5 linked regions of the Macaca mulatta genome follow. The protein of the gene in region 4 purifies or fractionates together with the protein of the main gene of each other region. This does not show direct contact. Links are inferred from orthologs where the notes say so. Each region holds a gene or a part of one and is shown on either strand. Other genes may lie near its edges.

Region 1 (3,291 bases), on a different chromosome or scaffold from region 4:
GGCGCTGGCCTGGGCAGGGTGGGCACCCTCAGCGGTGTCCCTGAGGCTAGTTGGGCAGTCATAGGGAGACCACTCCAGACGCCTCCTCCCTCCTTTCCCAAGGGGGAGCCTCAGGCTCTGGCTCTGCGGGTGTCTGGCAGCCCCACACTGTTGACACGGGCAAGCAGCAGGCTGGCACGGACCTTTACAAAGATAATCTTTATTGATAATCACAGGCCACAGGGGTGAGCCCTGAGGTTTGGGTTCTGGGGTGAAGGAGAACCCCTGTCCCCTGCCCTGGGCCTCTGCTGGCTGAGGAGGGACAAGCTGAGGGGGCCCCCATGGTGCTCAGACAACCAGGGCCTCCCCAGCAGGGCAGGAGTGTGGGTGCCACAGAGACAGGCCCTTTGCAGAGCTGACCTGGAACCCACCATCCCCACAGCCCGTGTGAGCACGAAGCCCCTGGGTGGGCTGTGCCCTGGCTTGTCAATGATGCCAGTAGAGGCTGGCAGCCGCCCCTCTCGGCACCGGGGACAGTGAGGGAAGGCAGCTGCTGCTGTGAAGAACAAAGACGCTCTGAGGACAGACTTGTCGGGGCTGAGCTGAGGGGCGCACAGAGGCAGGCCCTGCCCGTGGTCTGGTCAGCTGTCCCTGCCACCGCTACTTTTCTGGTCTGAGGCTGTAGCCTTGGTCAGGTTCCCAGCTTCCCTCTTGAGGACGCTGAGCAAAGTCTGGGAGCTCTCCAGAATCTGGGGCCAGAGAAGTGAGAAAGTTGTTACTGTTCACCTGCTGGGAAGTTCCTAAGCCCCAGCTGTCCTCACACTCAGGTTCTGGGACCTGGCTGTGGGTGCTGTAGCCAAGGGATCCTGTGCGGGGGAAGGCGGAAGCCCAAGGGGACTGGCAGACGGGGTAACAGGGCCCTCTTCCCTCCTGAATCTGACCCGGAACACTTCCTCCCCACCCTCAAAGCCAGGCTGGGTTAGCACTGGCCCAAGACGTGGCTCTTCACACTCTAAGCAAAAAGAACCACATGGCTAGCGAGAACCGGATGAAGACCAGGACCCAGGATGCCCCAGGTCCCCCAGACAGCCCCACGGTCACTCCCGCAGCAGCCTGGGTTCCTCAATGGGCCTGGCCACGCTGCTCCTGCCCGACATGCCAGCGAGGCACAGACTGCCCACAGCTGGGAGCCCCAGACGGTCCTGACGCCCTGCCGCGGCTACACCCCTGCCGCGGCTATCCCCTGATGCTCCGCCTGGCCTCCCGAGCTCCACCTTGAGGTAGGCGGCCTCCGTCTCCGCGATGGTCCGGTCGAACTCGTTGCGAGAGGCAATCTTGCGTGCCAGGTTCTCGTTGACGCGGGCCAGCTTCTCCGTCAGCTGCCTCACCTCATTCTGCAGCCGCTGCTTCTCGTCCTCCTCCTCCTGGATCTGCCGGCACAGCTCTTCCCGCTTCTGGCACAGCTCCTCTATGCCTGGGGGGCCGGGAGGGGCGGGGCTGTGGGCCCAGGGCAGGAGCGCGGCGGCGGAGGGCGGGCCTCCTTCCACCCGAGGAAGCCAGAGTCAGGCACCACCCCCGAGCACCCGGCGCGGGGCCTGCGAGCCAACGAGGGCTCGGGGCCACGGACACCCAGCCCCCGGCACGGAGGGCTCTGCTCAGCTGCGCGATGCCCGCAACTAGGCGGGTCCAGGGGCACCCCGCTGCGAGCCGGGAACCCGGCCCTGCGGCCCTCCCGACCTCCCCGTCCCGGCTGCGCCGCTCACACTTGACCAGCTCGTTGTTGTAGTTCTGCAGCGCCGCGCCCTGCTGGGTCATGGTCTACGCCGCCCGGGGCCCCGCCACCCCAACCGACGCGGAACCAGCGCTGTCCGCGCCTGCGCACGACTCCCTGACGGCGCGCCGAACTACGCGTCATCGCTGAGCGCCTTGTGCGCGTCATGGCTGCGCGTGCAGACTTGCGTCATCGCTTTGCGCCGTGCCGAGGGGATCTCGGAGCCGGTGGCTGCAGATGGCGGCGGCAGTTGTGGTGGCGGAGGGGGACAGCGACTCCCGGCCCGGACAGGAGTTGTTAGTGGCCTGGAATACCGTGAGCACCGGCCTGGTGCCGCCAGCTGCGCTGGGGCTGGTGAGGCCTGGGAAGAGAGCGGCGGCCCCGCGCGGAGTTTCCGGGACCCTATGCACTTTGGGGCGGCCACCTTCGGGTTCATACAGCTCTGTCCGTCATCCGCCTCTGGCCTGTCCTGCCGCTTTCCACCGCCATTCCACTTCATTTCGTTCAGCTCCGCTGGCAGCCCTTCCCTAGTTTCGGCCCAACGTCCGGACACCACGGACAGGGGGCAGCGGAGTTTTTGCAGCCTACCCCTCAGCTTCTTCCCTTCCCCGCCTCTCCCCACCTCTATGTTGTGTTCCCCTCGCTTCACGGTTTTCTGCGCTCCAGGTGTCTTCCCGGACCAGCGGTGCAGTCCCGCCAAAGGAAGAGGAGCTCCGGGCGGCGGTGGAGGTTCTGAGGGGCCACGGCCTGCACTCGGTCCTGGAGGAGTGGTTCGTAGAGGTGCTGCAGAACGATCTGCAGGCCAACATCTCCCCTGAGTTCTGGAATGCCATCTCCCAATGCGAGAACTCTACGGATGAGCCCCAGTGCCTTCTGCTGCTCCTTGACGCTTTTGGCCTGCTGGAGAGCCGCCTGGATCCCTACCTGCGTAGCCTAGAGCTGCTGGAGAAATGGACTCGCCTGGGCTTGCTGATGGGCACTGGTGCTCAGGGGCTGCGAGAAAAAGTCCACACTATGTTGCGCGGAGTCTTGTTCTTTAGTACCCCCAGAACCTTCCAAGAGATGATCCAGCGTCTGTATGGGTGCTTCTTGAGAGTCTATATGCAGAGTAAGAGGAAGGGGGAAGGGGGCACAGACCCGGAACTGGAGGGGGAGCTGGACAGCCGGTATGCCCGTCGCCGGTACTACCGGCTCCTGCAGAGCCCGCTGTGCGCAGGGTGCAGCAGTGACAAGCAACAGTGCTGGTGTCGCCAGGCTCTGGAGCAGTTCCATCAGCTCAGCCAGGTCTTGTGAGTAGTCTGTCCTGATGGCCGTGCTCTCGCTCCTACTGGTTGCTCCCCTGGGTCCAGCTGGCCTCTGCAGAAAGCTGGTGAGCCGTCCTGATAACCAGGAACATGACAGAGAGAGAGTCCCTGGGGTTCCTGTGCAGTGTGTCCTGGACACAGGTGTCTCTCTTCTGTCACTCACCTGCAGTCCCACGGATTCATGCCTTGCCCGTGGTAAGGCCCTATGTGGCTTTTGTCTGCAGCAGCAAATTTCTT
Region 2 (4,165 bases), on a different chromosome or scaffold from region 4:
GGGTTCAAGCGATTCTCCTGCCTCAGCCTCCTGAGTAGCTGGGATTACAAGCACCCGCCACTACACCCAGCTAATTTTTGTATTTTTAATAGAGACGGGGTTTTGCCATGTTGGCCAGGTGGTCTTGAACTCCTGACCTCAAGTGATCCACCCACTTCAGCCTCCCAAAGTGCTGGGATTACAGGCGTGAGCCACTGTGCCTGGCCTGTCCTACTCTTAAACACTACATTAGTCTCCCTCTGCTGGTAGGGGCTGTGTCTGTTTACTCTCAAATGCCACGCACACTGCTTTGCACATAGTAGGTGTCAACAAACTTGTTTTAATATATATATACATACATACATACACACACAGTCACATTCCAGTGTGACAAATACTCCTTCACCAGGGGACAGCGCTACCACTCCAGGATCTTGAAGACTCGCTACAGAGAGCTTAGGCCTGGCAGTCCTCACAGATGACACCCAACAGGGAGCACTTTTATTAAAGTGGGAAGGGGTGGGGTGTACCCCAGGGTGTATGCTGACACGGACCTCACGCGGGCCCAGAGCTCTGCTGCACCCTCTTCATCAGCTCTTCATCCTGCATAGACAACTCTGTCAACTTTTTGCCCATTCGCTCATGGATGTCCAAGTACTTAGAGACACATCGGTCCAGGCACACAGACTCGCCCTTGGAGAGCTCTGCTTCCTTGTAGTGAGGAGGCACACACTTCCGGTGGCAGGCACTGGTCATTCTGGAGGGAGGGAGGGGCAAGGTCATGTCAGCAGCATCCTGTGACATCCCAGGAACCCTCGACCATTCCAGCCCTGCTATATTGATGTCACCTTCCCCAAGAAAGCAGTGTAAATCCTCAGTTTACACCTCAACCACTGGAAGGTCCTTGCAAGTAGGAAACTTGCCTGAGCCCATGTATATGACTAATTAAGTAGAAACAATTTGTTAAGGACTGGCTATGTGCCAGGCATCATGCTAAGTGCTTTACCTGCATTCTGTTATGCAATGCTTACAATTACCCCAAGAGATACTTATCCCCATTTTACAGACGAGAAAATTAAGGCAAACAGAGGCTCAGTAATTTTCTTTTTTTTTTTTTTTGAGACGGAGTCTCGCTCTGTCGCCCAGACTGGAGTGCAGTGGCGCTATCTCGGCTCACTGCAAGCTCCGCCTCCCGGGTTCACGCCATTCTCCTGCCTCAGCCTCCCGAGTAGCTGGGACTACAGGCGCCCGCCACCACGCCCGGCTAATTTCTTTTTGTATTTTTAGTAGAGACGGGGTTTCACCGTGTTAGCCAGGATGGTCTCGATCTCCTGACCTCGTGATCCGCCCGCCTCGGCCTCCCAAAGTGCTGGGATTACAGGCTTGAGCCACCGTGCCCGGCCGAGGCTCAGTAATTTTCTAAGAATCACATAGAGCTGAGATATGAACCCAGGTCATCTGACCTCACAGTCTACACTTAACAATCTTTCTAATTTATAGTCGTCAGGATAAACCAACCAATCAAGAGAGCTTAAGCCAATAAAAATAGCAGACATTTCACTGTTACTAAGTGTTGGGCTTGAGGCTAAGGACTTTCATATATTTTTAGATTTAATATTTATGATGCCCTATGAGGTAGGTATCATTATGTCTTTTTCATAATGAGGAAACCAATTGTCAAACAGTGCAAGTAACATGTCCAAGTATACTGCTGGTGATTGGTGGAGCCAGGATTTGTTCCCAAATGTGCCAAATGGTTATGAGCACTAGTTGCAGAACCAGACTGAGGTGCTAGTTCTGGCATTGTTACCCACCAGATGCGGACCCTAAGGAAGTTACTTAACCTCTAGCAGCATCAATTTCCTCATTTTAAGATGGGACTAATAAAATTAACCCACTGGATTATTTTGAAGATTAACAAGAGCCTGACACAGAATAAAGGGTTTTAAAATGTTAACTACTAAATGGGCTGGCTATGTGCTATTTATCAAGAGGCAAATACTCAGCTTTTCTTGGAACCTAACCAGAGCCTGGATTGGAGCTTCTCTTCCTGCTTGGCTCCTGCATTGCCAGTTCCATCCCCATCTAAATGCCCAACTCATTCTAGTGACTGCATCTACATTAGGATCAACCTTGGAGGTGCGTATGGGGAGGGTAAGCATGGGCCTCAGGCTCCCCTACATTCAGGAAGGCATTTGTTGTAAGTCATTCACCTTCGATATGGGTGACCAAGACTTATTTTCCAAGACAGGGTAGAACATAGTTCTCTTTACCTGTTGTACATATCGGCCATCATCTCCACCTCCAGCTCCGCAGCCAGCTGTTGGGCCCTGAGAGGATCCATCTCAGCCTAGCACCGTGGAAGGTATCTCCTTCTGGCCTCCTAATCCTGGGAGCAGACATCACCATCAGCACCCACCGCCGCCGTTCACTCTCCTACCCCTTGGGGCTAGAGGATACAGAGGACTCACAGGGCGCCAGACCACCACGGGCCACTAACCTCAGTGAGCTTAACCACCCCATTTCACGGATGTGGAAACTGAGGCCTCGCCCAAGGTCGCACAGGACGTCCATGGCGAGCCTGGAAATCGAGCCCCGGATCTCTGATGCCCCAGTCCCTGGAGGTCACCTCTATTCAGAAGATCGAGGACCGAGGCAGAACGCTCTAACCATAAGCCTGAACCTCCAGGGCCCTGGGAATGAGATCGTACGCTGAACACAGGCGACTGGGACGCAGCCTAAAGGCTGCGCCTCTGAAATGGCGACGCCATAATCAGAGCCACATTGAATTCAGAGGTCATGGGTCACTCACCACTGCCTGGGACGGATCGCAATGCTCACGGAGACCCCAACTTCTGACAAAAACTATAACGTTACCCGCCTCTCCAGAAGGCTCCAGCGGAAGCACGTGGGTTACTTCCGGGAGGGAAGTCCCGCCTCTCCTTTGATTCAAACTCGCTTCCGGAACTAAATACCAACGAGACGGCGCCGGGAACTCGGCGATCCTAGAGAGGGAGCGGCCGGCGCCGGGCGAAGAGGAAGGCGACTTGCCAGTGCTAGAGGGGACGCCAAAGTACCATAGAGGCTTGGGCGGGGTGCAGAGCGTCTGCAGCCCGCTTACAATTCAAGTCCCTTGGGATGTCACAGAGCCGCTTCAGTTTATTGGTTCTGTAGGAAGAGGCGTGGCGACAGATATCAGTGAACCTCATCCCAGTTCCGGACAGCCGACTCCTGAGCGTAAATCAGGCGTGGAGAAGGAAGAACGCCCCCAAACAGCGATTCTGTTTTTGTTTCGCGTTAAAATCCCTGAAACGTTTTTAAACGTCCCAGTGCCCAGGACTCACCTCATTTCAATTAAATCAGAATCTCTGGGAGTAGGACCCAGGCATCAATACAATTTAAAATTCCCCAGGTGATTCGTATGTACAGCCAAATTTGAGAAGCAGTGCTCCATGGGACGTTGTACGATTACTACTGTGTGTAGGTCACACTAAGCCCCTTCTGGTGTTGCAACGATAAGCGAGATAGGCTTCCTGCTCGTAGAAAGACAAGACGTGTAAAATACGTTTTCTTCAACAGTCAGAGGTCCTGAGCCACAAAGAGATTAATAAAAGCAATTTCGGCTGCCACCGGGGCTAATCTTGGGTGAGGGAGAAGGAGGGTACTGGTGAACTTTTCAACTTTCAAGACTTAATGTGTTCTTCAAACTGCACCATTCACTCATTCCCCACTAAAAAGAAGGAAACAACACTCAGTCCCTTGATTTGTCACACAATTTCCTAGTAAAATAAATTTACAAGATGTAAATTGATGACGCAAGGGCACATTGCTCATTGGAAAAGGTGGGCTAGACATTTTATATGTGTGGTCATCATATGCTTCCCTAATTGTCCAAGACCATCCTGATTTTAAACAATCGACCTTTCTGCTTTGAAGACTCATCTTTGTCAAACCTTGTGCCCTGATTTTTAAAGATTGAGGTATAATATTCATAAAGTGCATAAAATACACGAATCTCAAGCTTAATTAAATATATATGTGTATATATACATTTGTATAACCACCACCCAGATCAAGATATAAAATACTTCCTGCACCCCAAAAAGTTATCTTGTGTTTCTTCCCCATTAATACTCCCTCTTGAAGTTAACCACTATTCTGACCTCTATCACCATCAATTCGTTTT
Region 3 (3,995 bases), on a different chromosome or scaffold from region 4:
GCACTCCAGCCTGGGTGACAGAGCAAACTCCGTCTCAAAATAAAATAAAATAAAAACTAAAAACGTAGTACACATTACGACCTAAGTAGTTGAAATTTGTGCCAAGTCTGAGCAACAAATGAGTTGCTCAGAAGCATTTTAAGGTGATTACTTGGAAGAATAAACAAACACCTTCAAACTTTTCAGAATCACTCATTGTAACTGGTATCCAAATTACAATTTTTAAAATCTGTTCACTCCAATCATAGCAAGTCCCACAAGAAGTTGTATATTTGAAGGTGATTTGAGCTTTTTTTCAATAATTATTCAGACTTTACACGAACTTAATCGACCTTCTCTGAGTGTGTCTAAATTTGGTTAGGTATTTGCAGATTAGCCACATCTATAAACATGGTATATGGAGGTGAAACAAATAGCTTTTACCATGCTTATTCCAGAAAGTCCAGAAAGCATTTTAAATCAAATGTAGAGTATCACGTCATATCCAGAATAAAAGTAAAAATAATGGATCACAACTTAAAATTACAGTACTGTCTTTAATAAAAAAACGTGTTCCTCACTGTGCACAATGTAGCACTAACATGGTCTTCCGAACAGTGCTGCTTGGTATAAAACCAAGAAATATTAAAGACCAGGAATAAGGTCATGTTTCCTATGGGTACATTTCGGAAAAGAAAATACATTCAAAGAGTATGACTGTAGACAGGATTTTGTACAACCTCAACAGGTGACAAAATTTAAAACTAGGTAACCGCCTTCATAAGGAACTTGAAACTAAAATTTTTGCCACGAAAACATGACATGTGCAAAAGTTATCTCTCTGGCCATCGCTCCTGCTAAGGACACTGGGAAGGACATGCTCAACGTAGCAGTCGATCAAAACGATTCCAGGGAAACTGCGCAACAGCCTGGGGCCGAGAAGCGAAACCTGGTCTTCTTCACCCTCGTCTCACTCCTTTTCCCGCAGACTTGGTAGTGGGAGATAGGACGGGCGTCTCCTATATGCAGTCAAAACTTGCCACGAGCGGCTCGACTTGGGACAGGCAATTTGCCCTGCCACCCTTCCGTCGCCCCCACCCCTCCTTTACTGAAGGCCGAAGGCAGAGACGTCCTCCTCCCCCTTCTCCTCCTCTTTGGTGTCTCCAGCCAGGAGGCGGGAGCGACCCACAGCAGCTGACCCAGCTCAGGCACTGCCTCTTCCACAGCCCTCAAGACACACCATGGGCCCAGAGGCAGGTTTGCTACACAGCAGCGACGACGCAGGCGGCGGCCCCGGCGACTCGCAACTGCCTCCCTGACCACAGCGACCACCGCCTAACACACCCGAGAAGCCATCGCCGCCACCGGCAGGAGAACCTAGGATCCAGAAAGCCATCCTCGCGATCAACTAAAGCTACGTCAACAACTATGGCGGGCGAGGGACCGCGGGCGGAGGCGGTGCGGGAAGGATGGGGTGTGTACGTCACTCCCAGGGCCCCCATCCGAGAAGGAAGGGGCCGGCTCGCCCCTCAAAATGGCGGCAGCAGCGACGCGCCTGCGTACGGAACTCCTCTGTCGCGCCAGGGCCGGCGGGAAGTGAGGTTCTCGGAGGAGCCGCCAGAAGTGTACGGAGACTTCGAGCCCCTGGTGGCCAAAGAAAGGTCCCCGGTGGGAAAACGAAGCCGGCTAGAAGAGTTCCGGCCCGATTCTGCGAAAGAGGAAGTGAGAGAAAGCGCGTACTACCTTCGTTCTAGGCAGCGGCGGAGGCTGCCGCGACTCCAGGAAGCCGAAGAGATGCAGACGCGAAGGGCTACCCGCCTTCAGCAGCAGTACTCACAGCAGCCTCCGCTACAGCCGTCTCCCGTTACGACCAGGAGAGGGCTGCGGGACTGTCATTCCTCTGAAGGTGAGGACCGCGGAGGTAACAGTCCCAGCCGCGAGCCAGGGAACGCGCGGGGGCGGGCGCGCGCCTCCGTGGAGCTCATCCCCGCCTGGGTACTAAGTACTGGGATTGGGTACTGGGTACTCCTCAGTCCCTTCTGGACGTGTGTCGCCGTGCAAGGGCCATCCTGACCCGCAGCGGGGAAGGAAGCGCCGACCTAAGGAGTGGAAAGATGGTCGTATGGAGCGACCCGGGCAGGGCTGGGGCGCTCTGACCAACATCGGGCATCAATTTAGGGGAGTCAGGGCTGCCTTTTTCTGCAGGCCTTCACGAGGGGACAGCGAATTACTCCAGGTTCGGTTTCATTTTGGTTTCGTCTACCCTGCGGATGTTTCTACGGAAACCACTTCCATTTCCTTTTTTAACGCTGGCAGGCCAGAGTCTCCAGCTGAGGATCAAACCTTTCAGTCGTTTTCCCTCCCCACCCAGGTGGAGAGAGAGAAAGGAGAAATTTTGTGAGTGGGCATTTCGAGGGATTGCTGAGTTTAGTTAATTGATTTGAGACCTCACCCAATACTTACACCGAAATGGGGTAACTCATTTTTCCTGAACTCATGTTCCCCAGTGTCTGATAAACTTGAGCTGATTGCTCTTTCTCCAGTGTGGTGGTCCCTGCCAAAAATCTGCCACTTTGGTGGCCGTCACTGTAACCTCAAGTAGTCTGGCAAATCAGGCTGACAAAGCAACCTGAAAAACAATACTATTAATTAGTTTTCGTCTAAATGGACAAAAGGGATGCTGACAGAGTGAATGTATAGTGTTAGGTAAGTCATAGGTGAATCAGTTTCCTTAACCTATCCTCTCCCACCCTGCCCCCCCATTTTGGGACCCAACACTGAGTCACAGATGAAGTTTCATGTTAGTCCCACGTAAGGCACCTGTGAGGTAAAAATCAGCGGACCTGAGTCACAATGGGAAGACATAGTTTGTGGTAGACTATTGATATGCGGAGGAGTGGGTTTTCAGCTTACAGCACGATGATAGGCTGCAAGTTTACCTGCTGACTCGTGAAGGTACTGACAGATTTGAAGACTTGATTTTGGCAACTTTATGTTAAAGTTGTGTCAGTTACTTTTGGGTGTAGCAACTCAAGACAGTTTAGCCCATATATATGTGTGTTTTATCTCTTTTAAGATTACAAAGTTTTGGCCGGGCGCGGTGGCTCAAGCCTGTAATCCCAGCACTTTGGGAGGCCGAGACGGGCGGATCACGAGGTCAGGAGTTCGAGACCATCCTGGCTAACACGGTGAAACCCCGTCTCTACTAAAAAATACAAAAAACTAGCCGGGCGAGGTGGCGGGCGCCTGTAGTCCCGGCTACTCGGGAGGCTGAGGCAGGAGAATGGCGTAAAAACCCGGGAGGCGGAGCTTGCAGTGAGCTGAGATCCGGCCACTGCACTCCAGCCTGGGCGACACAGCGAGACTCCGTCTCAAAAAAAAAAAAAAAAAAAATTACAAAGTTTTTGCAGACAAGGAGCCTATCATATATATTTGATAGTAATTTAAGTACTTGGTTTAATTCAGTATCTTTCAGTACCTGGAAGAATGCTTTGCACAAGGTAGGCAATAAATATGTTACATTGTATTGAGTCCCACAGAGCCTAGTGCAGTTATATAGGCTAACATTTTTTTAACAAGTAAAGAATTTACCCCTATTTTATTAAATCTTTAAAGATCTAAACATTTTCACTCTTCTGCATTCTTCCACATTGTTTGTGATTCTCTACCCCATCTTTTTGATTTTCTGAAATGATATATTTTTGTAAAACAACAGTGGCAAATATTACTATATTCTAACGAATTAGTTGTATTCTGTCCCAAGAGGAGTTCTGACTAGTTTAATTCCTAAATTTTGGTAAACCTAACCACCTGTTTCTAAAGAAATGAATTTCTTGCATTTTTGCATATGTATTATTACAAAAATGCATAATCTGTGCCATTATCTCCCAGGTCATATATTCTGAATTTTAACTCTAGTTACGTCTGTTTTTTAGAGGATGAACCATCTTCCGAAACTGATTTAAGCCAAACGATTTCAAAGAAAACTGTCAGGAGCATACAAGAGGCTCCAGGTA
Region 4 (4,202 bases):
CTGGCCTCTCAAGGGGTGTGGGAGGCAGAGAGGACGCTTGGGGACAGAGGCGGCGTCTGGAAATAGGGTGTGACAGGCAAGGGGAGAGCTGCTAGGACACTCTACCAAAGCAGGAGGGAGGGTGTGTCTGGGGCTGGCTGGGCTCCTAAGCAGGCCCTAGAAGCACTTTCACAGAGGAGGGGAGAAGTGAGTCACCAGCTTCTCCCACATCCAGCGCCCTGGTAGGAGGCGCTGCTTGGTGTGCTGAATGAATGTTGGGCTTAAATAGTTTCCCGAGAAAGGCTAGTTGCAGGGAGAAGAGGCCTTGAAGGAACAGCCCTCAGCCAGGCCTTCTCCAACCAAATCCTTGCTAGGAGGAGGAGGGGCCCCGACAGTAGAGAAATGCTCCCTCTCCCCCTAACTCCTTCGCTCCCAGCCCAGCCTAAGCTTTTTGCAGCATCACAGCCTCGGTTTACACAGCCTCCCTAGAGCGGGGAGCTCTCTGCCCGCCTGGACAGCCCTATCCGTCCATTGCTGGACAGCTCCACTTGGGCTGGGTCGCCTTCCTCCCTCCCAAGGGAATGGCCCCCTCTCTGAGCTCCCGTCCAGCTCTCATAATGCGCAACCTTGGGACGGCTTCAGGGCCCCAAGATACAGGAGGGAACTAGGAATGCAAGGAGGAGCCGCGGAGAGGCGTACAAGCAGATCGTAGTGCGGGAGCAACACCTCCGAGTCCGCCTCCGCACGAACGCCGAGGACTAGGCGGACCAAAGAACACGGACAAAAGAAGTCTGGACGGTTCGAGAGATTAACAGAGGGATGAGCTGGCGAAGGCACCGACACGGCGCGCAGAGGGAGATGCGGGCCCAGCCGCAGGGAGGAGCTCCAGACGGCGAAACGGACCCAGAGGGCCCCGGGGAAGAGCCCCAGGGCGACGGAGAAGCCTGGGTGTGGCCCGGCTGGCCAGGGGACACTCACATTCGCGGCCATGGTGGGACCCGGCTCGCTGCCGCCGCCTCGCGCTGTTCAGCTAGGAAGTGGGCTGACGACTGGAGCGCGGAGTCCAGCGGCCTCTTGCCAGCCCCAGCTTCGAAAATCCGCGTGGACTCCAAGACCAGGCGGGACTTACTGCAGTTACCGCCCCGTGTGCCCAGTGTTTCTGCGCATGCGCACGGCGAGACCTGGAAACGGGTCAGGGACATTACAGTACCTCATTGATGCGCCTGCGCACTGCAAAGCTTTCTGGGAAATGTAGTTTCTACTGCCTGGCGAGCTGCTGTGGGGCTCGCGACCTGCTGGGAAATGTAGTTTCCGGCTGAGGTGGGCCTGGCCGCGGTTAAGAGGGCGCCGAGGCAGGCGCGCGGCGGGCAGGCCTGGAGGGGGCGGGTCCGCGCGGGCTTCGGAGGCGCCCGCCCTGCCTGAGGAGAGGAGGTCACGGCGTAAAGCTGCAGCTACCGCCACTGCCGCTTCTGCAAGGTCTCAGGGACGGGCTGCAGCCATGTCCTATTGCCGGCAGGAAGGTAGGGAGGGCGGGCTGCCATGGAGACCGGCCTACGAGGGCCTGCGGGAGACACGCGGGCCCCGGCGCCCCGCTACCACGCCGCAGGCGCGGGCCACCCGAGGCGCGGCCCGGTTGCCCACCCTGGGACACTCGGAGGCGGGCAGGCTGGGGGGTCGCCACTCGTGTTTTGCGAATGAGAAAACCGAAGCTCTCGGGGGAACGGGACTGGTCCAAGGTCACAGTGAAGCCCGAACCCTGACCTCAGAGGGGCCTGTGCGTGGGAAGTCGTAAACTAGGCCGGGTTGGGGCACGGGAAATGCCGAGCACGTTGCGTGTGGCTCGTAACTGGGAATGTATGTTAATTATTACTACCGCTCCTGCCATACCCCACGTGTTGCCATTTTGCACGCGCCTTTAAAAGGCGGGTCCCGAAAAGTTGCTACTGGGGGTAGCGTGTGCTGTGCTGGGGTGCTAGGAGTTGTGCTAGGAGTTCTACTAACGGGAATGTTTTTGAGCCCCCTGCTACCTATCAGGCACTGTTCAAGGAAACTTACGTGGCTTGTCTCATTGATCTCGCTGCGCCCTTTGTAAGTCAGACTCTGTTACTGGTCACATTTTACTGAAGAGTAAAGTCTGACACAGGAGACTTGGCTAAAGCCACTCAGCCAGCAAATCGTGGAACCGGGGTTTGAGCCTGGGCATTGTGACCCCAGAACAGCCTTTTCCAATCTAGTGCCCAGTGGATTGCAGGGAGAACCCTGCCTACCTCCCACCCCAAAGTTGAGCTCCAACCACCTAATGCTTCCTTGATGTTACTCTACCCAAGAGCTCAGAAGTACCCAAGCCACAGGTCGGAGGGCCTCCCCACACACTGCCACAAACTGACTCCTTGGCCCTAAGCTCCTACCTAACCCCTCCAGGCCCTGGTTTCCAGTGTTGTAAAATGAGATGTTGGGCTTCACTGATACAGCAAATATTCATGAAGCATCTTCTCTGCTCCAGAGAAGGGGGATGGATGGTTATAAAGCTACAGAGAGAGTTGGAAGTCACCCAGAAATTCTTTGGTGAATACTCCAGCTCCATCAGTTAATTCAAGCAATCTGAAGCCCAGAGAAGGAGGTGGCCTACCTTAGTTACACATCCAGTTAGGAGCATAGCTCAGCCTAAAATGCTGAGCCTTTTCCCTAGTAGCCCTGTCTGCTTCTAGAACCTCTCCTCCTCTGGGTTGTAAAGCCATAAGACTCACTCTTTAATGAGTACTATTATATTTCCGCTGATTACTACTTAATGTGTGCCGTAAGCAAAAGTCCTCTGCCCTCACCACTGTTGTTTTTAATTTCAAGTCTCTCTCTAATTTACTTCATTTAGCAAATAATTTTTGAGCCTTTGGGTATAATGAGGCTGTGCTGATAAACAAAACCCTCCTTCTCTTTGAGGATTTACAGGAGGCAGTTTTCTCTGGAAAGGGAGGCTAGGTCCATCTGCCTTCAAAACATGGAGCCCTTGGCTGGGCGCGGTGGCTCAAGCCTGTAATCCCAGCACTTTGGGAGGCCGAGACGGGCGGATCACGAGGTCAGGAGATCAAGACCATCCTGGCTAACACCGTGAAACCCCGTCTCTACTAAAAATACAAAAAACTAGCCGGGCGAGGTGGCGGGCGCCTGTAGTCCCAGCTACTCCGGAGGCTGAGGCAGGAGAATGGCATAAACCCGGGAGGCGGAGCTTGCAGTGAGCTGAGATCCGGCCACTGCACTCCAGCCCGGGCTACAGAGCAAGACTCCGTCTCAAAAAAAAAAAAAAAAACATGGAGCCCTTATCTTTTCCTGGTTCAAAGATCTCTCTTAGGAGATGAGTGAGAATTGAAAGCACTCACTTATAGGCCTTCCTTAGTATTTTTCTTATCCATACCACTGTCCCCCTAAGAAGTCCCTAACATTTTTTTTTTTTTTTTTTTTTTGCTCACTGATCCTTTATGCTTCCCATAGGATTTTTAAAAAAAATGATCCCAAACTCCTTACCGTATCAGAGCTTATGTGATCTGGCCCTGTCTGCCTTTCCAGCCTGGTCTCTTCCCACCTTTTTGTTGCCCAGCCTCTAACCTCTTCGCTATACCCTTGGTTTGGTAGATCCTGCCTTCACCTCTTCCATGGCTGACTCCTCATCCTTTAAAATTTAGCCTCCTGACCCTTTGTGTCTTTCACATCCTGAACTCTCTGAAATTACCTTTTTTATTTTTTGCCATCTTCCTGCCTGTCTTCTCCCACTAAGCTGAGAGCATCAGATGGGCTGTGGAATCCCCAGCATCTGGCACAGGGCCTGGTGTACAATGGGTGCCCAAATCTTTATTGAATCATGCGTGTACCTGCCCTCTGTCCTGAGTGAATCACTTGCCTGTGCAAGTTTATTTCAGGGGTCCACCTGCTACCCAGCCTTCAGGTTAAACTCCTTGGTTTGGCATTCGAGGGCTCTCATCCTGGCTCCCTGGCCTTGGGCTAGCCACACTTCTGTGTGTCAGCACCATAGTGTTTCTTTCTTAGTTTCCTCTTTCTAATGCAGAGCCTGCCCACTCGTGTTTAGTCAACATTTATAAAGCACATGTGACGTGCCAGCCATTGGGCATATAGTGGTGAGCAATGTGACACATTCTCTGCCTTCCTGGCATGGTGGAAGAGATTGCCATTAAAACATCACCAGACCAATGCATGATTACAGACTGTCATAA
Region 5 (4,142 bases), on a different chromosome or scaffold from region 4:
TGTGGATTCTATCTTGTTCTCTCCTTTAAATTACTCACTCTGGGAGAAGCCAGACGCCATGTCATGAGGACACTCAAGCAGCCCATGGAGAGAACCATGTCATGATGATCTGAGCTCTCCCAATAACAGCTGGTAAGGAACAGAGGCCTCTGTTACCAGCCATCAGAGTGAGTCATCTTAGAACTGGAAACTCCCAACTTCAGTCAAGCCTTCCAATGACGACAGCCCTGGTTCCATGGCCAATGTCTGACTATAACCTCATGAGACACCCTGAGGTACCCCACTAAACCACTCCCAAATTCTTGACCCACAGAAACTACTGAGGTGATCTGTTATTTAGCCATACATAATGTAAACACTATGCCAGTGATAACTATAATTAGAGTAGGAGAAAAGACAGAAGCAAGACAATTATAATTACTGACCCCTTACTCTGTGCCAGGCACATGCTGATGCCTTTTTCTATACTATCCTATTTAATCCTCACGACCCTACAAAGCAAGTACTATTTCCCTCCAATTTACAGGTGATGTAACTTGAGTGCACAGAGTTGAAGTGATTGGCTCAAGATCTCACTATTTGCAAATAGCATTCCCTAAGGTTTACCTAACTTGAAAGGCTGTGTTCTTCCCCACATCGCTCTGCTGAACTCCTACCTCTCCATCTTCCTACAATGCACTTGCCCAATGCCTGCGAGACCCTTCTGCAAGAGCTCATCATGGGGCTCAGGTGTGAGGCCAGCACTGCCATCAGTGACAAGGACCCAAAAAGCAGACCCTCCTTACCCTTACCTTTTCCAGTCACATAGTAGGCCCCCAGTTTGTAGCAACTATCGCTGTGCTGGTTCTCTTCACAGTTAAACTTCAACACCTTGGCAGCCTCATCAAAATTCTTCTGGATCCCTTCCAAATAGTCCACCAGCCGATAGCAACCTGCGAAGAGAGGGCAAGGGCTGTTCTTCATGTCTGGGGCTGCTGCTTCACAGTGGGGGCTTGGGGTAGGGGGTGCCCAGGTGTGGCAGGCCAGGCTATGTCTTTTAAGACAGCCCATGTCCTCCTGAGATGTCGCAAGTTGACCTTACCACAAAGAATGTAGGTGGTGTTTAGTTATACCTACAAATGACACTGTCTCCCCATAGCCATGGACTGAGCAATATATGGCCTGGGGAAACCTCAGTCCCTGCATTGGCTCCATCACTCACCAGCCCTTCTGCTCCCTGTCAGCCACGCCCAAATACCCACCGACTTCCATGATTGAAACTTTGCTAGTTTTGGAATCTCTCATGAAGTTCAATGGTAAAAACAATGAAAACCTAAAAGGCTCATAGACTAGTCTTTGTAGCAGCAAGAAAACGGTGCTGGGTCAGGCTTGGTAGCTCATATCTGTAATCCCAGTACTTAGGGAGGCTGAGGCAGGAGGATCACTTGAGGTCTGGAGTTCGAGACCAGCCTGGACAGGGTGAAACCCTGTCTCTACTAAAAATACAAAAAAATTATCCAGAAGTGGAAATATATTAAAAAATTAGCCAGGTGTGGTGGCACACACCTGTAATCCCAGCTACCTGGGAGGCTAAGACAGGAGAATCACTTGAACCCAGGGGGCAGAGGTTGCAGTGAGTCGAGATCGTGCCACTGCACTCCAGCCTGGGTGACACAGTGAGACTCTGTCTTAAAAAAAAAAAAAAAAAGAAAAAGAAAAAGAAAAGGGTGCTGTGATGACTATACCTTACTCCTCAGCTAGGGTAGGAACATGAAAGCCAAAAAGAAAGAGTAGAGGTGGCCGCTTCTATGGAAACAGGCTCCATGTCTCCCAATCCCAGTAAACCTCTCTCCTTAATCTCTCTCCCCTCTTCTTAACCCCTGGTGACAACATGTATCTCTCATTCATTTTCACTCAACAAATATTTGGGCCGGGCGCGGTGGCTCACGCCTGTAATCCCAGCACTTTGGGAGGCCGAGGCGGGCGGATCACAAGGTCAGGAGATCGAGACCACGGTGAAACCCCGTCTCTACTAAAAATACAAAAAATTAGCCGGGCGCGGTGGCGGGCGCCTGTAGTCCCAGCTACTCAGGAGGCTGAGGCAGGAGAATGGCGTGAACCCAGGAGGCGGAGCTTGCAGTGAGCCGAGATCGCGCCACTGCACTCCAGCCTGGGCGACAGAGCGAGACTCCGTCTCAAAAAAAAAAAAAAAAACACAAATATTTGAACATCTCTATGCATCTATGTAACAGACATGGTTCTAGATGCTGAAAATATACTCATTTGCCCTCCTAAAATTTACATTCTAGGGGAGGAAATACAGTAAGTAAATGAACAAAATTTATTCAAACAGTAATAAATGTTATGATTATAACAACTCAGAAACAGGAAGTGAAATACTGCATGTCCTCACTTATAAGTGAGAGCTAAATACTGTGTACACATGGACACAAAGAGTGTGGAATAATAGACACTGGAGATTGGGAAGGGTGAGAGGAAGAAATTACCTAACAGGTACAAGTACATTATTTGGGTGATGGTTATATTAAAAGCCCCGACTTCCCCAGCAATTTGGGAGGCCGAGGCGGGCAGATCACCTGAGGTCGGGAATTCTAGACCAGCCTGACATGGAGAAACCCTGTCTCTACTAAAAATACAAAAATATTAGCTGTGCATGGTGGTGCATGCCTATAATCCCAGCTACCTGGGAGGCTGAGGCAGAGAATCACTTCAACTCAGGAGGCGGAGATTGCGGTGAGCCGAGATGGGCCATTGCACTCCAGCCTGGGCAATAAGAGCGGAACACCGTCTCAAAAAAAAAAACAAGCCCAGACTACACAACCAGGCAATATATCCATGTAACAAAACTGCACTTGTACTCCTTAAATGTATACAAATAAATAAATAAATAAATAAATGCTATGACTGAAATAAAACAGGATAACTGTTTGCTGTCAACTTTGGGTGAAGCTAACAAAGACTGGGCCACTGGGGAGGGGCTGTGACCTCAATAACAAGAAAGTACTAGCTATTTAAAGACAATGGAATGGGAGTGGGGCAGGGATTTGGAACAAATTTAAAAATTAAAAAAAAAAAAATGAAATTAAAAGACAATAAAATGGGCAGGGGCACAAAGTCCTGGCACAACGAACAGTAAATACAAAGACCTGAAAGAGAGAATAAGTTTGGCACGAATAAGGTACAACATGGCTGAACCAAGGAGGAGGGTCAGGAAATGAAGAAGGAAGGTAGGGACGAGACCCCAGGCCTTGTGAAACATAGGATGCAGTTACGATTTTTTTCCAACTGAAACAGTAAACCACTGGAGGGTTTTAAGAAAATAAGTAATATGATTCAGGCCAGGTGTGGTGGCTCATGCCTGTAATCCCAGCATTTTGGGAGGCCAAGGAGGGTAGATCACTTGAGGTCAGGAGTTCAAGACCAGCCTGGCCAAAATGGTGAAATCCTGTCTCTACTAAAAATACAAAAATTAGCCAGGCTTGATGGCGCACACTTGTAATTCCAGCTATTCGGGAGGCTGAGGCAGGAGAATCACTTGAACCCAGGAGGCTAAGGTTGCAGTGAGCTGATATCATGCCACTGCACTCAAGCCTGGGCAACAGAGCAAGACTCAGTCTCAGGAAAAAAAAAAAAAAAAAAAAAAGCCAGGTGTGGTGGCACATGCCTGTAATCCCAGCTACTTGGGAGGCTGGGGCAGAAGTGCTTGAACCTGGGAGGAAGAGGTTGCAGTGAGCCAAAATTGCGCCACTGCACTCCAGCCTGGGCAACAGAGTAAGACCCTGTCTCAAAAAACAACCAAAAAGTCACCAAAAACAACAACCCCACCCCCCAACAAAAACGTTACTCTGGTATACATGTTCATATATGCCTGGGTGATTATGCAGGAATTTAAGTATGTGAGGGCATATAATTGGGCATTGATAACAAATATGTTATTTTAAAATCTAATATTTAACATAACAAAATTAAAATTAAAATATCAGTTTATCTGTGAGTAGAAATGGATTTTAAGGGAGTAAAGTGCAAAGACAGGGACAGGTTAGAAGGCAACTTCAGTTATCCAGGTAAGAGATCCTTCCTGACATGCAAGGAAACTACTACACCAGTCGCTATGGTAACTACAGCCTCTTCTCAGGTCTCCT

What was found.
Region 1: the proteins of CHCHD4 (region 4) and SSNA1 purify together in Homo sapiens (co-immunoprecipitation; 3 studies listed by BioGRID and IntAct, with this or other methods). This does not show direct contact. The link is inferred for Macaca mulatta from reciprocal best matches to the Homo sapiens genes CHCHD4 and SSNA1.
Region 2: the proteins of CHCHD4 (region 4) and TIMM10 purify together in Homo sapiens (co-immunoprecipitation; 4 studies listed by BioGRID and IntAct, with this or other methods). This does not show direct contact. The link is inferred for Macaca mulatta from reciprocal best matches to the Homo sapiens genes CHCHD4 and TIMM10.
Region 3: the proteins of CHCHD4 (region 4) and TOR1AIP1 purify together in Homo sapiens (co-immunoprecipitation; 3 studies listed by BioGRID and IntAct, with this or other methods). This does not show direct contact. The link is inferred for Macaca mulatta from reciprocal best matches to the Homo sapiens genes CHCHD4 and TOR1AIP1.
Region 5: the proteins of CHCHD4 (region 4) and COA7 purify together in Homo sapiens (co-immunoprecipitation; 3 studies listed by BioGRID and IntAct, with this or other methods). This does not show direct contact. The link is inferred for Macaca mulatta from reciprocal best matches to the Homo sapiens genes CHCHD4 and COA7.

What each region holds. Positions count from the first base shown.
Region 1 is NC_133420.1:5,265,389-5,268,679, forward strand, and holds SSNA1 (microtubule nucleation factor SSNA1), read right to left. Parts: upstream 1,865-3,291; 5' UTR 1,795-1,864; coding exon 1,743-1,794; intron 1,454-1,742; coding exon 1,254-1,453; intron 729-1,253; coding exon 621-728; 3' UTR 507-620; downstream 1-506. Other genes in the region: ANAPC2 (anaphase-promoting complex subunit 2), read left to right, coding at 1,988-2,104, 2,417-3,039. UniProt on the Homo sapiens protein: Microtubule-binding protein which stabilizes dynamic microtubules by slowing growth and shrinkage at both plus and minus ends and serves as a sensor of microtubule damage, protecting microtubules from the microtubule-severing enzyme SPAST.
Region 2 is NC_133419.1:15,871,652-15,875,816, reverse strand, and holds TIMM10 (mitochondrial import inner membrane translocase subunit Tim10), read right to left. Parts: upstream 2,807-4,165; 5' UTR 2,792-2,806; intron 2,369-2,791; 5' UTR 2,324-2,368; coding exon 2,253-2,323; intron 737-2,252; coding exon 535-736; 3' UTR 369-534; downstream 1-368.
Region 3 is NC_133406.1:37,288,377-37,292,371, forward strand, and holds the start of TOR1AIP1 (torsin-1A-interacting protein 1), read left to right. Parts: upstream 1-1,189; 5' UTR 1,190-1,220; coding exon of another isoform or gene 1,221-1,298; 5' UTR 1,299-1,407; coding exon 1,408-1,885; intron 1,886-3,914; coding exon 3,915-3,992; intron 3,993-3,995. Other genes in the region: uncharacterized protein LOC144340607, read left to right, coding at 1,221-1,298. UniProt on the Homo sapiens protein: Required for nuclear membrane integrity. Induces TOR1A and TOR1B ATPase activity and is required for their location on the nuclear membrane. Binds to A- and B-type lamins. Possible role in membrane attachment and assembly of the nuclear lamina.
Region 4 is NC_133407.1:152,924,783-152,928,984, reverse strand, and holds the start of CHCHD4 (mitochondrial intermembrane space import and assembly protein 40), read left to right. Parts: upstream 1-1,395; 5' UTR 1,396-1,477; coding exon 1,478-1,499; intron 1,500-4,202. Other genes in the region: TMEM43 (transmembrane protein 43), read right to left, coding at 958-969.
Region 5 is NC_133406.1:187,950,603-187,954,744, reverse strand, and holds the start of COA7 (cytochrome c oxidase assembly factor 7), read right to left. Parts: upstream 2,807-4,142; 5' UTR 2,715-2,806; intron 1,407-2,714; 5' UTR 1,051-1,406; coding exon 792-1,050; intron 1-791. UniProt on the Homo sapiens protein: Required for assembly of mitochondrial respiratory chain complex I and complex IV.